Linked DNA regions of Stegostoma tigrinum. The protein of the gene in region 2 interacts with the protein of the main gene of each other region in a pairwise test. Links are inferred from orthologs where the notes say so. Each region holds a gene or a part of one and is shown on either strand. Other genes may lie near its edges.

Evidence for each region.
Region 1: the proteins of F-BAR and double SH3 domains protein 2-like (region 2) and abcf3 interact in binary tests that used the Homo sapiens proteins (3 or more experiments, as listed by UniProt). The two-hybrid records come from large-scale screens. The link is inferred for Stegostoma tigrinum from reciprocal best matches to the Homo sapiens genes FCHSD2 and ABCF3.

What each region holds. Positions count from the first base shown.
Region 1 is NC_081367.1:55,794,624-55,802,511, forward strand, and holds the start of abcf3 (ATP-binding cassette sub-family F member 3), read left to right. Parts: upstream 1-4,782; 5' UTR 4,783-4,785; coding exon 4,786-4,888; intron 4,889-7,888.
Region 2 is NC_081359.1:90,513,496-90,520,973, forward strand, and holds the start of F-BAR and double SH3 domains protein 2-like, read left to right. Parts: upstream 1-4,275; 5' UTR 4,276-4,770; coding exon 4,771-4,791; intron 4,792-5,029; exon of another isoform or gene 5,030-5,131; intron 5,132-5,853; coding exon 5,854-5,951; intron 5,952-7,478. UniProt on the Homo sapiens protein: Adapter protein that plays a role in endocytosis via clathrin-coated pits. Contributes to the internalization of cell surface receptors, such as integrin ITGB1 and transferrin receptor.

The DNA.
Region 1 (7,888 bases), on a different chromosome or scaffold from region 2:
CATTGAGCGAGGTGCCGAAGATTTCCCAACATTGTTGGCGGAACTTAATGAGTCCCAAACACTCTTACAAGATTCAAAATCTGTTTCTTTGATCAATGAGTCTGTTAAATAATTCAGAATGGTTATTTCCTCCTGCAATGGCTGCACACAACTATTCTCAGTTGTGACGTGTATACAGAATCAGGGACAAAAGAATCACAAAAAGACCTACGTTTACACTTAGAACCACCATAGACCCCTTTAGGCCTTTTGAAAAAAAAAACTTTTAAGTATGTTTAGCTAAAGGATGTTTCTTTCCAAGTGGCCCGAACTCAGCACATCTACGGTTCATTCCGGTCTAGTTTCGAAAAGACCTTCTTAGGGTAGTAGGTCTTGATTCTCAGTACATTTCTCCTGTCACAAATGGAAGAATTCTTGGAAATAAAATATAATTGCAGGGCAATGTGGAAAGAGTAAGGGGAATGGGATTCTTGGCTAGTTCTTTCAAAGAACTAGTGCAGACACAATAAGCCAATTGGCCTCCTGAGCTGTACAAATCTATAGTTAGTGAATGGGAAACTAATAAATGAGGGGGAGTCAGCAGCATGAAGACAGAATGCAACATTGAAACTCTGCATGACCATGTTGCTCAAGACTATTACAGATTCAGGTCCAGAGGAGATAGTAACTGGAAATACTAACAAAGGAATGACATCCTGATAGACGCAGCTGAACTGCCAAATTTAAGAACACTAACGATAATGTTTTAAATGCATATTTAACAAAGAGCAACATGATTTTTATCTCTTGCATTTTAATTACTTCGAGGGAATTTAACTTACAGAAATTAACATCGAGCCAGAGGAAACATTAGGAAGATTGTTCAAACAGTTGACTTTAAAGAGATCTTAAAGGAATCATAGGATCATAGAATCCCTATAGTGTGGAAACAGGTCCTTCGGCCCAACAAGTCCACACCACCCCTCAGAGCATCCCAACCAGACCCATACCCCTATAAGCCACCTAATCTACACATCCCTCAGCACTTTAGCATGGCCAATCCACCTAGTCTACAAATCTTTGGACAATGGAAGGAAAGCAGAGCACCCGGAGGAAACCTCGCAGACACGGGGAGAATGTGCAAACTCCACATAGGTAGTCGCCCAGGGGTGGAATTGAGGCCTGGTTCCTGGTGCTGTGAGGCAGCAGTGCTAACCACGGAGTACTGTGGAAAGAATAAGGAAGATTAAGTTTGGGGAAGGAATTCCAGAAGAAAATCCGACAACATGAAGGTATAGGTGACAAAGTTATATCAAGATCAGTATGGTATGTTGAAGAGGCCAGAGTCCGGAGAAGTGTTTTCAGGGACTTGGAAGACAAAAGTGGGTTAACATAGTCTGAACAGCACATTATTTTCCACAAATTAGAGCAGTCTCCATCCTGCATGATAAAACGATTTGAACTCCTCCATTGCTGGGCAAAATAAGCAAAATAAACATCAGCAACTATTACCAGGTTCCTGAAAGGCCCATGTTCCTCATTGTTATCTAACAACTTCTATGGCAAAGTGTGTGAATGAACATGAGGTATAAACAAAATCAGCCACAACTATAATAAATCTTCACTCCCTGAGTACTTGCTCCCTCTTTGGGGCTCTTGCGGCGCAATAACCCTTCCTCTGAGCAAGGAGACACAGGCTCAAATTCCACTTGCACCAGATGTGTCTGAACATGTTGATTAAAAATTGCTTGGTCCCTCTTCCTCTCACTTTTTGATGTTAACATTGCCCTTAACAGGCTTTGATTGTAAATATTCAATTGGCCAGGTGAGTGTTCTTCCTGGTAGTGGAGAAAGAACATAGACTTGCTCCCCTTGGGAACTGTTGTGGTGCCTTTGAACCAGAAAACCTGGGTTCAGGTTCTACTTGCTCTGGACATGTAATAACATCTGTGGGCAGGCTGTTTTGAAAACAAAACTTGCTCCCTCTGTTAATTGGTATCATCCATAGGCCAGGAGGCCTGGTTTAAGTCCCACCTAATCCAGAGGTGTGTAATAGAATCTATTAACAGGTCAGTTAGAAAGTATCTGCTCCCTCCTTGTGGTCAAATCCCTGTTTGCAAACACTAGAAGCAGGAGTAGCTTTCAGTATCTTGAGCCTGTTCTGCCATCAATAGGATCATGGCTGATCTGATAGCAACCTGAAATCCACATTCCAGCTGATCCTCCACCACTGGCCCCCTTCCTTGCCTTACTTAACAAGAACATACCCATCTGCCTTAAAAAAAATCTCTGCTATCACAACATTTTCAGGAAGAATTCCAAAGATTTGTGACTCTCAGAGGTACTGTGATTTTTGAACAGTGACCCATAGTTATAGATTCTCCCACAAAACATCCTCTCCACATCCACTTTTCAGAAGATCTCTCAGGATTTCAGATGTTTCAAAGATGTAACCTCTTAACTCTGCTACAAGATACAAGACCTAGCTTATCTAACTTTTCCCCTCAAGACAAAGCACCCAATCCAGGTATTAGTCTAGTAAACCTTATCTGAACAGCCTCCAACTCATGTACATTATTCTTTTTGAGGTGATCAAAACTGTACAGTCCTCCAGATGTGGTCTCACCAATGCCCTGCATAACTGAAACGCAATCTTGCAACAAATGATAATATTCTACGAGCTTTTCTCGTTACTGGCTGAACTAGCAAAATCCACATTAATAATTTATTCTAACACTTCTAGTGGATTGAGCAAAACGAACAAGTATACTGAGGCCATTGCACAGACATTTACTTGCACTTAGTATTATAAGAGAAACACAGCTAGATTCACTCATCCAATTTAGAACCCTTTAGAACCAAGATGATGAAGAATTTCTTCAGCCAACAAGATGATTAATCAATGAACTCATTGCCGGAGAAGGCTATGGAGGCCAAGTCCTTGAATGTCTTTAAGAAGGAGATTCAAGTTCCAGATTAATAAGGGGTTCAAGGAGACAAAAGAGGAAAATAGGGTTGACAAACCTATTAGCCATGAACAAATGGTGGAGCAAACTCAATGAGCTGAATGGCCTAATATGGACTTAGATTTTATTGTCACATGTACTTGAGCACTGGAATACAGGAGCATAGTAAAAAGTGTTCAAAGTCACCATTCTCCCACACCATCTTACTATACAAAAGACAGGTTTGAAAAACAGCCAAAAGAAAAGGAAACCTCCAGATCACTCCCCCATATGTCTTCACCACCAGAAAAACAAAGCCACAAAGTCCATTCTCTGTCAGAGTACTGAAATGAGTTCAGGGTTTAAGAACAACAATGACTTTTGGCAATCGTGCAGAGCTCACACCTGGTGTAGTGTGTATAGCTTTGGTCTACATTCTTTAGGAAAGATGTAGCTGCCTTAGAGGGAGTGCAACAAAGGCTCACTAGTTGATTCCTGGGATAAAAGGACAGTCTATGAGGAGAGATTGAATAAACAGATTCATATTCTCAGGACATGAGAACAAAAGGACGTCATCTGAACCGACTTGACAGGGTCAATGCTGAGAGGAGATTTCCCCCTAACTGGAGAGTCTTTACAAACAGGACATAGTTTCATAATGTGTAATCAATCATTTCAGATGGAGAAGTTTGTGAATCCGTGAATAATCTAAACCAGAGAGCAGTGAGTCCTTGGTCACTGAAATATTTTCAAAAGAAAAAAAAGAAATCCGGGGTATTGAGGTATAGAGAAGGAAACTGGAGTTGAAATTGAACATCGACTGTGATTTTATTAAATGGTAAGCAGTCTGAAGAGACTGCATGGCGTACTCTGGCTCCCAATTCTTCAGCTCCTATATCGTATAGTTACTGATAGGACTTGTCAATATCTGATCTTTAGCATAATTCTGCTCATATCAATGGTCTAAACAGGTCTGAGGGAGGCAGAGGGAAACCTGCTGTATTTCTTCCCCAACACCTTGAACACCCCCTCCCCCCGACCTTTCCAACACACACTATGTCACATTACTCTGTGAAATTGAAAATACGAGGCTTCCACAAAAACTGAAGAGGAAAATACAAGAGTCCATGAAGAAATGAGTGGAAAATCTGCCCTTTAGGTCAATCAATTGTACAGTCACAGTGATAATGCAAGAAATCAATGCAGCAGTCAACTGGTGCCCAACAAGATCTCACAATTGACAAAGGTGATAATCCCAAACCCAACTTGCAATGAAACTAACCAAACTGACAACAAAGTACTGCTGATGCAGGAACTGTTGGAGACACTCAGCAGGTCTGGCAACAGCTGTGGAGAGAGAAACAGGGTTAACTTTTTGAGGCTGATATGATTTCTTCACAACTGCCCAGGCCTTTTAACAGGCAGAAACAGCAATCTTACCTCATTGGCACCTTTCAAGATTCAAAGATTCTGCCACTCTAGGCACAGAATTGAATGAGTTCCATGTCCCAGATTTTTTTCCCCTCAAATGAAGGATGAAGAACCGAAAGTAAGCTATTCATCTTGATGGAAAGTGACAGAAATTCACTGTAAACAGAATCAGCTTTTGTCTAATGAGAGCAGTAAACATTTGATCAGTCTGCTGCCACGGGCCTTGCACTGTCCCAGCGGCACAACCAGGTCTGTCAATCACAGCATTCCCACCACCTCAATCACCCACCAGGCTTGGGGTTACGTGCCCCACGCATTGTCTCCTGGGGGCTGAAGTCCACTGGCCTTGACGGCCTCACGTTGACCCTCTGCCCCAGAACTACAAGTTCCGGCAGACATCGCGAGTCAGCACCATTGCGCAGGCGCGGTGATGACGAGCCGGCCGGCTGGCGGAGGGAACATGGCGACTTATGTAGAAATCATCCGGCACGAGTTTCCCGATATCGACTCTGAGCTTTTCCAATACGTGACAGGTGAGGAAAGTCTCGTATACGTTCTGCTTTGGTGACTGCTCACAGCGAATTAGGTTTTCCTTCTAGGTAGTCAGTTGTCCTTACAGTCTCCCTTCTGTATTAGTTGGTGAAACCCGGGCCCGGTCTTAGTGAAATAGATTCGGAGAAACTCAGGGTTATGTGGCATTTGCAGGGACAGCAACAAAATTAACGGTTCGAGTGCGAGATGACTCTTTTTGGGAACCTGGTCTGTCCGAAACGTCAGCTTTTGTGCTCCTGAGATGCTGCTTGGCTTGTTGTGTTCATCCAGCTTCATACTTTATTATCCTGGTCTGTCCGTTCTGGTTTGCCTAATTGCGCTATGGACTATCTTGTTCCAAAGGGGAGCCGTAGCTCAGTGATTAACACTGACCTCCGCTTACCCCTAAGACCGAGTCTGAGACCGTGGACTCGATAGATTGGGCCCCACAGTCCAGGCTGATACGACTGGTAAAGGTCGCCATAGTCCCAGAGGACCATGGGGCTGTTTTATCATAAGAGAGAGAGAGAGACACGACTGGCTTCGAGTTTAACCTGAGGGTCAACCGCGCCTCGGGCAAGGGGACATTGATTAGAAGGTAGGACCTTCACCGTAACCTCAGCCAGGAATTGAATAAAACAAAGACCTGTGGACCTTGAAGACGTGAAACAAAATTGTAATTGTTGCAGAAACAGAAGGTCTGGCAGTGTCTGTGGAGAAAAAAAGCAGAGGTGACATTTGAGTCTAATGACCCATTCTCTGAGTTGATAACAGCCAGGAAGATGTCCAGTTTATGATGATGACAGTGTTGGTGAAGGGGGTAGGGAAAGAGGAAGAAAGAGTAAACGGATGGATTGACGGAGGGCTCAGAGCCTGAGAAACCTAGTCACATTATAAAGGATGGCTAATAGTAAGCCAGGGAAGAAGAAAAGCTGATAATGGAGACAATAAGTAGGTGATAAAGGGTTGGCTGTGCTGAAAGCAGGCAATGTTGAGTCAGGGACCAGAGTGTGGGAGTGGGTAAGTGACATAGAGGCAGGTGTTCAGACCCAACATTATTGATACAAAAACAAAGTTACTGGAACACCTCAGCAGGCCTGGTAGCATCTATGAAAGAAAAAAACAATTAATGTTTTGGGTCCTGTGACCCTTCCTCAGAACTTTGGGTCGGTGTTCTGAGGAAGGGTCATGGGACCTGAAATGTTAACACTTTTTCTTCCTTCACAGCTGCTGCCAGACCTGCTGGGCTGTTCCAGCAACTTTGTTTCTGATCCTGATTTATAGCATCTGCAGTTCTTTAGCCTTTTTACCCAACACTATTGAATTTGATATTAAATCCTAAAGACTACTCAGTTCCCAAATGGAAAATGAGATACTGTCCTTCAAGTCTTGTCAATGTCCTGCAGCAAGCCTAAGACTGAAATGTTGACCAAGGAGGACAATGGTGACAGGCAACTGGAAGCTTGCAGGCATTTTTAAGGACAGATGGTAGGTGTTCTGCGAAGTGGTCATGCAGTCTGAGTTTGGTTTTTCCGATGTAGAGAAGGTTACGTTGTGAGTAGCAGGAGTTGAACCTGTGTCTTTTATGTTATTGTACATTGCAGTCCAGGCATCCAGTCAGCTGAACTCATTTGGGGGAATGCTGAACTGTCAGTGGGCTGGCCTTGAGGGTGTGCTGGGTGGCCAGCTGTCATGAGACATTAATTGAAATTTCGATCTGACTTGTCAGATGGACGTTGAAGTGCCCACTATTATTATACTTGAAAAGCGCAGTGTTCAGTGTCCTGGCCATTATTCATCTCTCAATAAGTATATTAAAAATTCTTAATGTTAATGTATTAATATTCATGCAATTTTGCTGTGAGTAAACTGTAGAATTGTCATGCCTGTGTAAGAGCAACTTGGGCTGTCCTGTGCCCTAGCCTTTTCCTTTATTAGAATGTATTTTGCTTCAGATGTTTGTCCAACTCTATTGAAAGGTCCGGTTGAATCTCCCACCACTACTCGATAAGGCAGTAGAGTCAATCGTAAACCAAATTGTAAACCATTCTTGTCTTTCTGTTAAATTAGCTCACTTCACATTTTTTGATACTGAAATGTTCACGTCTTTGCCAAAACTCTGATGCCAAACGCTAGCCTTACAAGCCTTTTCTGCCCTTCCTCCCATTGGCTTGAATTGGCTGCATAGTTTATTCTGCTTGCTTTGCTGATTGCTCTACAATAAAGGGACATTCGATTTTTGTTAGAACTCTGGCGCACCTGAAAATTTTAACTGTTTCAGCTATTCATGGCATCTTGGCCATTGTGGGCTCCTTCTTTAATATCACAGTTGCCATTATATATGTTATTTCACTGATACTTTGTAAGGTAATATTTAACAACTGCTTTTTGCTTATTTACCAAAGAATATCAGTTGAAAATTTCTAACACATGCTATGATTCTCAAATCTGGAAGTAAGTTGTGGAAATGGGCTTTCATAGAAAATGTCTTGCAAAATTCTGGATTGTAGCATCATGGAAACATAACTGGCAAGGTTGAAAATGTAATTGGGTATCTAAGAACATCAATTCCTGATTTTTCTTTTTCCTTGAACTGTTCAGTGTTCAGACATTTTGATTTGCTAAATATGAATTGTAGTCTTGCATATTCTTGGTTTTGTGTTATATGGAGCCAAGATTAAATTCAAATCAGTTGCTGAAGATGGCTTACAGATACTCATGCACAGTATTTTCTTGGTGTTGCAGCATATGAGATTCACCAGAACATTAGTCTCCTTGGTACTTTTGGTTCTGATATTGAAACCGTTGTGTTCCACCATCATCATGTGCTTTGCAAGTCTGTTCCCTCTTAAGATGAGCCTTGCCAAATCTGCTCCTAATTATGTTTAGCAAATTTTTGTTTAATCACTCTTCGCAGCAATTTTTATTTTTCTATCCAACTGATCCTTTCAATTCTCCTTCAAAAAGGCATTTCAAATAAATTTTACAAGTTCACTTTTTTC
Region 2 (7,478 bases):
GAAATTAAGGGAAGTATGTCACCCAACAAAAGCTATTTCTAACTGATGCTTTCTTTCCACAAAAAAAAAGCAATTAACACATTGTCACTCACAAACATTGAACTTGGCACTTGATACGTGGGTACTGACTACCAAACCTGGCCATGTTCCCTGAGTAATTTAGGAGAACCCAGGAATTTGAAAATGTATTAATTCTGCAGGCCGTAGTTCCTGTTTCAAATATTGTCTGTAAAGGCCAAATTCCCACTCTCAGGTTAAAAGCAGCGACTAACTCCTCAATAATAAAATGTGAGGCTGGATGAACACAGCAGGCCCAGCAGCATCTCAGGAGCACAAAAGCTGACGTTTCGGGCCTAGACCCTTCATCAGACTAACTCCTCAATCCCAGTTTGGGAGAAAGTGCCCCATATCATTGCATTTTTAGGAATTGTGTAGAGGAGGGGGGAGTGTTAATATTGATGAAAGGTGGGCTTGCTACTGCAGGCAAGAACACAGAGGCAGCCATAGGGGCTGCCAAGTGCCAAGGTAGGCTGTGCAAAAAGCCCATATTTTAGGACTTGTAAGAGAAAATAAAAAGACGAGCCCTCTAAGCCTCACACCACCACCTAACCCCCATCCACCATTACCACATTTTCCATGCCATTTCATTTTTTAAATTCATTCATGGACTGTAGCACTGACTAGGTCAGCATTTACTTTGAATCTCAAGTGCAATTAGAAATGGACCACAAATGTTGACCCGGCCAGTGATGTCTGCAATCTTTGAATGAATTACAAAATGCCATTCGTGTTCTCTATGCCAACAGTGCAATTTGAACATACAAAGACCTTTTAAAATGCTAACACGTGTCTTTCTTTCAATGAGTGGGGAGTCCACCAGATAAATGAAGATAACTTCCCCAGCAGCAGCCAGATTAGGGAGGAGATTGTTTTTTAACCTAAGATGTAGTTGTGAGGAAGATAGTCTCCACAATTTCCCAGGGCAGGGTTTGTCTCCAGCAATGAGCCTCTGAATTATTTTTTTACCTTCTACTGAATTCAGCACATCTTCAGCCTGTCTCAGCAGCCGCCTATTGGCACTGAGGTTGTTGAGCTACAGGCCTGCTGATTGGACTTATAGAGCACAGTGCTGGGCAGCTGTCCTGAACTAGATGCCAAACCCAACAGCAACCACTTAATTGGCTGCTGCCCATAAAATTGAAGGTAAAGTCCTTCTGGCTGTCCACGTGAGCCAGTGGTCTGCTTTTCTGGTCAATATCTGTCCAATAGTTCTCAACGAGGAAATGTAAGTGTTAAGTTTTATGACTGATGTAATCAAACAAGAGAGATGGTAGTTTGTAGACCAATTTAAACATATGGAGCTGTATCTATTTTTCAGAGTGATCCAAGAACAGTCATATGTATCAATGGGTACTCTAATGTGATAAATGTGAGGTGTTGCATTTTGGTAAAACAAAGAAGGATAGAATTTATACAATTAATGGGAGGACCCTGGTAGTGTTGTCAAACAGAGAGGCTTAGGGTTTCAGGCATATAATATTTTGAAATTTGCTAACATGCTAACATGCTTGCCCTCATTGCTCAGACCTTCGAACATAGGAGTTGGGATGTTATGTTGAAGTTGGACAGGACATTGGTGAGGCCTCTTCCAGAGTACTATATGCAGTTCTGGTTGTCCTGATGTAGGAAGGTTATTATTAAACTGGAGAGAGTTCAGAAAAGATTGACCGGGATGTTGCTTGGAATGGAGGATTTCACTTATAAAACTAGGCTGAATAGGCTGGGACTTCTTTCACTAGAACATAAGAGGTTGAGCGATAACCTTACAGAAGTTTATAAAATCATGAGAGGCATAGATAATATGAATAGTAAATGTCTTTTCCCTAAGGTGGATGAGTTCAAAACATGGGGCATATTTTTAAGGTGAGAGGAGAAAGATTTGAAAAGGACATGAGGGACAACCTGTTTTACACAAACAGTGCTTACTGTGTGGAATGAACTGTCCCTGAAAATGGTGGACGCAGGTACAGTTACAACATTTAAAAGACATTTGATAAGAGCATGAATAGGAAAGGTTTCATGGGATATGGGCCAAATGCAGGCAGGTGGATATAGTTTAGTTTGAGAACATGGTCAGCATCGACTAGTTGGACCAAAGTGTCTGTTTCAATGCTGTATGACTTTAACCGTGATTAAAATTGACCAACACAAAAAATCTCAAAGTTCCTTGTTCATTTACGTTAAAGTTTGTTGATTGCTGTCTAGATTCTAATGAATGTACTAGAACTGGTTTCACTTTCAGTAACTTTAATAATCTGAATGTTATCCAACTAACAGAAAATGCACAAAATTATCTGCTGCCTGAAGTTTGAATTAGTAATGGCTCCATTCCCACGATAGCCAAATAGCTCCCAGATCCAGACTTCAAAGTATCTTACAGCTTGAATCAAAAAGATTGATATGTCAATCCTATTGGTGGTGGACTTAATATGCAATCTTGAAATTTTGCTTCTTTAATAAAAGAATCAATTGTTAATATTACCAATTTGTAAGATTACTTATTCTCACTTAAGGTTTTCAACACTGAAGAAACCTTTGAATTTTACAAACAATTTGCAATTTCATAACAGGCCATTCGGTCACATAGGTTTACAGTGGTGTTTATGTTCTACATGAGGCTACTCACTTAGTATTTCCCCTGATGTGTGAAAACTGAGATACAACTAAGTCAATGAGGATATGACAACAAATTCTCCACAACTCAGCAACAGTTCCAGTCTATCAAGCAGTTGCTGTCACACCCTTGTTCTGCAGTATTAACGATACAAAAGAACAATTCCACCAGTAGTGACTCTCCACATTCTCCTGATTTCCTGGGAGGTCAGTTAAACAATGTTAGTATGTGAGCAAAGAACTATGGATGCTAGAAAACTGAAACAAAAACAGAAAGTGCTGGAAAAATTCAACAGGTCTGGCAGCTCTGTAGAGAGTCAAACAGGAATTAACATTTTGAGTCAGACTGGCATGTGTTCCAAAATAGAAAGTGTCCTTCTTGAAGCCAGCCCGATTAGCATTCAGCAAAACTTCAAAAGTCAACTGTAATGAACGGGACACTACATCCAATGGCTGGAAAAGCATCGCCTTCATCAATGATAATGGGAACTGCAGATGCTGGAGATTCCAAGATAATAAAATGTGAGGCTGGATGAACACAGCAGGCCAAGCAGCATCTCAGGAGCACAAAAGCTGACGTTTCGGGCCTAGACCCTGAGATGCTGCTTGGCCTGCTGTGTTCATCCAGCCTCACATTTTATTATCTCGCCTTCATCAATGTCTGTTTCCTCAACTCTTAAACGTCTGGCATTCCAGGGGAGGAATCTGAAACTGTCTTTGAAGCTTGACATCATTCACAATTATCAGACAGAAGCCTACTACAAACTGTTCACAATTGCGATTTTTCCGCCAAATGACACCAAGTTTTGAGTTGAAACATCTTAATGATGAGGCAGGGTTGCCACAGGTTCGGAACAGAAAGGGAAGTAAATCCTGTGGTTTGGGACCTACTATCTCATGCGATCTCCTGCTTAATATGTTCAAAGTACCGTGGGTCAACAATTAGCCACTTCAGTCACACAAAGACCTCAGCTAAAACTGTCGAACCTTCGTAGGCATTCTTCAATCGAGGAATTGAAGACTTGCCGACTGCCTGTCAGAGGTACTGTCTTTGGGATGAGATGAGAAACCTTATCCACCGTTTTAATCTGTTGGGCATGAACGTAAAATGTCTCACTGCCCTATTTTGAACAGCAGCGACTTTAACGCAGAGTCCTGAGTAATGCTTATTTCTCAATCAACATTATTTTTAAAATAATTACCTTATCATTATTACCTCGCTAACAGTGTGTTAACTGACTGCCCTGTTTCCTCCAAAAGACACTGATGGCTGTCACGTGCTTTGAGACGTTTGCTGATGATGAAAAGGGCTATGCAAGTACATTCTTGTTCACACACCTATTCTGTATCACATTGAGGCAGTAATTCACCGGTTGTACCTCAACAGGCTTGCTCATCAGAGCGGCCTCTGCGTGATTGTGAGCGTCTAACCGATCAATCCAATGGAGCCGAGCCATCGATATGACCCAGCTCGATTGCTTTCTTTTGTCCCCTCCCAGGGGTTGCCCCTGGCGACGGCTGAGGCCTGGCGTCACCGACGGGGGCCCCGCTCGAGCTCTCAACGCCAATGACACGAAGACATTTTCTTCTTCCTCCTCCTCCCCCCTCCCCCTCCCCTTCTCCTTCGTGTTCTTGCCGCTTCGGTTCCGACAGCCGCCGCTGTAAGTCGCTATTGAGTGGCGGATCCCTGAAGCGGTGTGTGTTTGGTGGTTAATGTTCCACCGCCTCCTTGCCTCCCCCCCCGACCCGACCTCCTCGCCTTCTCCGGTATTTTTTTCCTGTCTGTCTCTCTCTCACACTGAATCTGTTCACTGGAGTGTTGGTTGTGTAACGGAGGTAGATATAATGGCGGTGTCCCATTGACTCTCAGCAAAGACACGGATCTGTGTCTTTCTCTCACCGCCCCCGTCTCTCAGAAAAAGAGCAGACCCCGATCGTACCGGAGTTTGCTTTTTTTTGTTTCTCTCTTCTCAAACCACTCATTCCTTCTCTACATCGGCGGGTGGCAAGGCAGCTTTCTATTTATCTCCTTGTCGGTTTTCTTTTTCCTTTCCATCCTCCCAACGTCGGATTTATGATTCCTGTCAGCTCATCGACATGCAGCCTCCTCCGAGAAAGGTGAGTTCCAAAAACGACATCTTTATTCGCTGACTCTATGTGTGTGTGTGCTGAAATGTCGTATTCGAAGGAGGTTCGGGGGCGGGGGGGGATGGTGGAAATACAATGTTCCCAGTGTTCAGCTTTAAAAAGGAATTTCTTCCTCCCCCCTTCCCGTTTATGCCTTGATTTCAGTGACGTGCCAATTTGTTTATCTTTGGGTTACTGTGGTCAGATATTTATAGATCTTTTTCGTGAACATGATTTTGTTTTCTCTACAATTTGTGCCGGAATGGCAAATATGCTGTTGTGTGATTGAGTTCGGAATCGGTGGGATTGTTAAGATATTTACATGTGAAAGGTGGGAGAGATGTTTTTGTTTTTTCCCCTCTGGAGTCTCTGGCTTAATTTTTTTGTGTTAAAATGTTTCTCCTTAGTGCGCTTCATCATGTAAACGTCGAAGTTAAAAACCAAAATGTACACGATTTTGGTTCTTGTAATTGCTTGAAATCGGAGTCGACATTTCAAGGAATGACGCTTTATGGGAAGTGGGTAGAATGAATATCTTTTAATTAGTGACTTTTTTGACTGTAATTTCACGAATTGTCTGAAATTGATTAAAATTGACAATTATTACTGCTTTAAATTCTCTACATGAAATGTTTCGCGCTATTTACATGATTTGTGACAATGTATGCTGTCTCAGACGTAGAGTTTGTGCTGTTTCTGGAGAAATTAACTCAAATTGGCGCAGGACTGTAAAAACATTCCGACTTTTTTTTGCTTCAGAAATAGTAGGAACTGCAGATGTTGGAGAATCTGAGATAACAAGGTGTAGAACTGGATGAACACAGCAGGCCGAGCAGAAAAGCTGACCTTTCGGGCCTAGACCCTTCTTCAGAAATCTTCAGAAACTGCTTGGCCTGCTGTGTTTATCCAACTCTACATCTTGTTATCTCCGACTTTTTTGTACTTACTTCGCGTGTTCTCTTGAGTAAACTGGTGGGTTTGGTTAGAAATCATATTTTATCTGTACACATTCATTATCTTTTCGGCCAATGGTATATTTCTTCTTTATCAAAGGTGAAAGTTACTCAAGAACTGAAAAACATCCATGCTGAGCAAATGACTAAACTTCAGGCGAAGCATCAGGGGGAATGTGATTTACTGGAAGACTTGAGGTAGGATTTACAACATTTATTTTTTGAGTAGAACAGAGCAAAAAATCCCAAATTGTGCAAGTATTAAATAACTTCCTCCTTGTTTAGGCCAAACTGAATAATACAGACGTGCCAAACTGAAAATACCACAAGTATGTTATTCTCCTTACACGAATCAAAAGCATGTTTTTAATGTAGCATTTCTCCGACATGTTTTCCCTTCTCTCTTTATCTGAAGAAGAGTACTTGTGTTGAATGGCATTATACATGTGAGAATATTCACAGGTGTCGAGAATTGTTTACTTGAGAGTTCCTGTTTATATTTTCATGTGTACCTTGATAAATTGTGACTTTTATAGCTTTACATTATGGCCTGGAGAAAAAAAATCAAAGTTTTAAGTTTCCTTTTGCAACACTGATTGTTACTAATGTGTAGACAGCCTAAACATGAGCAGGAAAACAAATACTGCAATTCTAGCTTTGCCCTGCACGTGGGTGGCAGTATTAAAACGATAGTTCGTTCTCCTTGTTGCATAGTATATTTGCATTTGCTCCAAAAAAGCTGTACTATTTCTTTTAAACTCAATGTAATGAGTTAATAACTATTTAAACCATTTTTGGTCCTTTTATTTTGAATTGTTATTTTGCGTCTAATTGTAAGGACACATTGTTGAGTGATCTTGCAGTATTTATTTGTCAATATATGCTTGCTTTAAATTATTAAGTAGTCCAAACTGCATTATAAATTATTTGAAATCTGTTTATGTATTATCAAATGACAGATCTCTTACAATACTACGTGTGAAGTGTTTTTAACTTAATAAGTGGTGACTATTGATTCAGTGCCTGCGTACACTCATTTGGATAAACTGGAAATAATGCATTCAATAGATTATACAATAGAAATGAACAATTAATTCTTGCTTTCAAAAGAATTAAAAGGTAGCTGAAATTTGGTCAGAAAGGTTATTGTTTTTTATGAGAAACTAGAGATTGGAGTTCTCACACTTTGCAAATTAAGAGTATTCATTTCAGCATATTGTAGCTTTTTGAAATGCATATACAGTACACCCTTTTTCTTCCATCTCCACTGAGTAAATGCCAATATCTTCTCTTTGAAAAGGAATTAGATGCTCTTCCTTTCTATTGATTATTCATTCATGGGATGTGGATGTCCAAGGCAATGTGCCTGATGCTAACTAAGTACCTGTCACTAATTGTCCTTGAGAAGGAGATCGTAAACTACCACCCTGGACTGTTGCAGACCTTATAGAGGACACCATCTTTTAAGAAGGGAGGTGCAGGGTATTGACCCACTGTAAAGTATTTTTAATGTAGCAACAGAATAAGAATATATCTGGTGTTCTTAATGTCATCTCAATGCTTCTCCCATGTCACCACAGAACCTGCCATAACTCATTTTGTTAATTAAGGCTACAGTTTTCTGTCATAACTCATTTTGTTAACTAAGGCGACAGATTTGCCGAATAGTTACAAGAAGGTGCAATGAAATATTTCCAAGCAGGATGGTAAGTGGCTTGGAGGGGA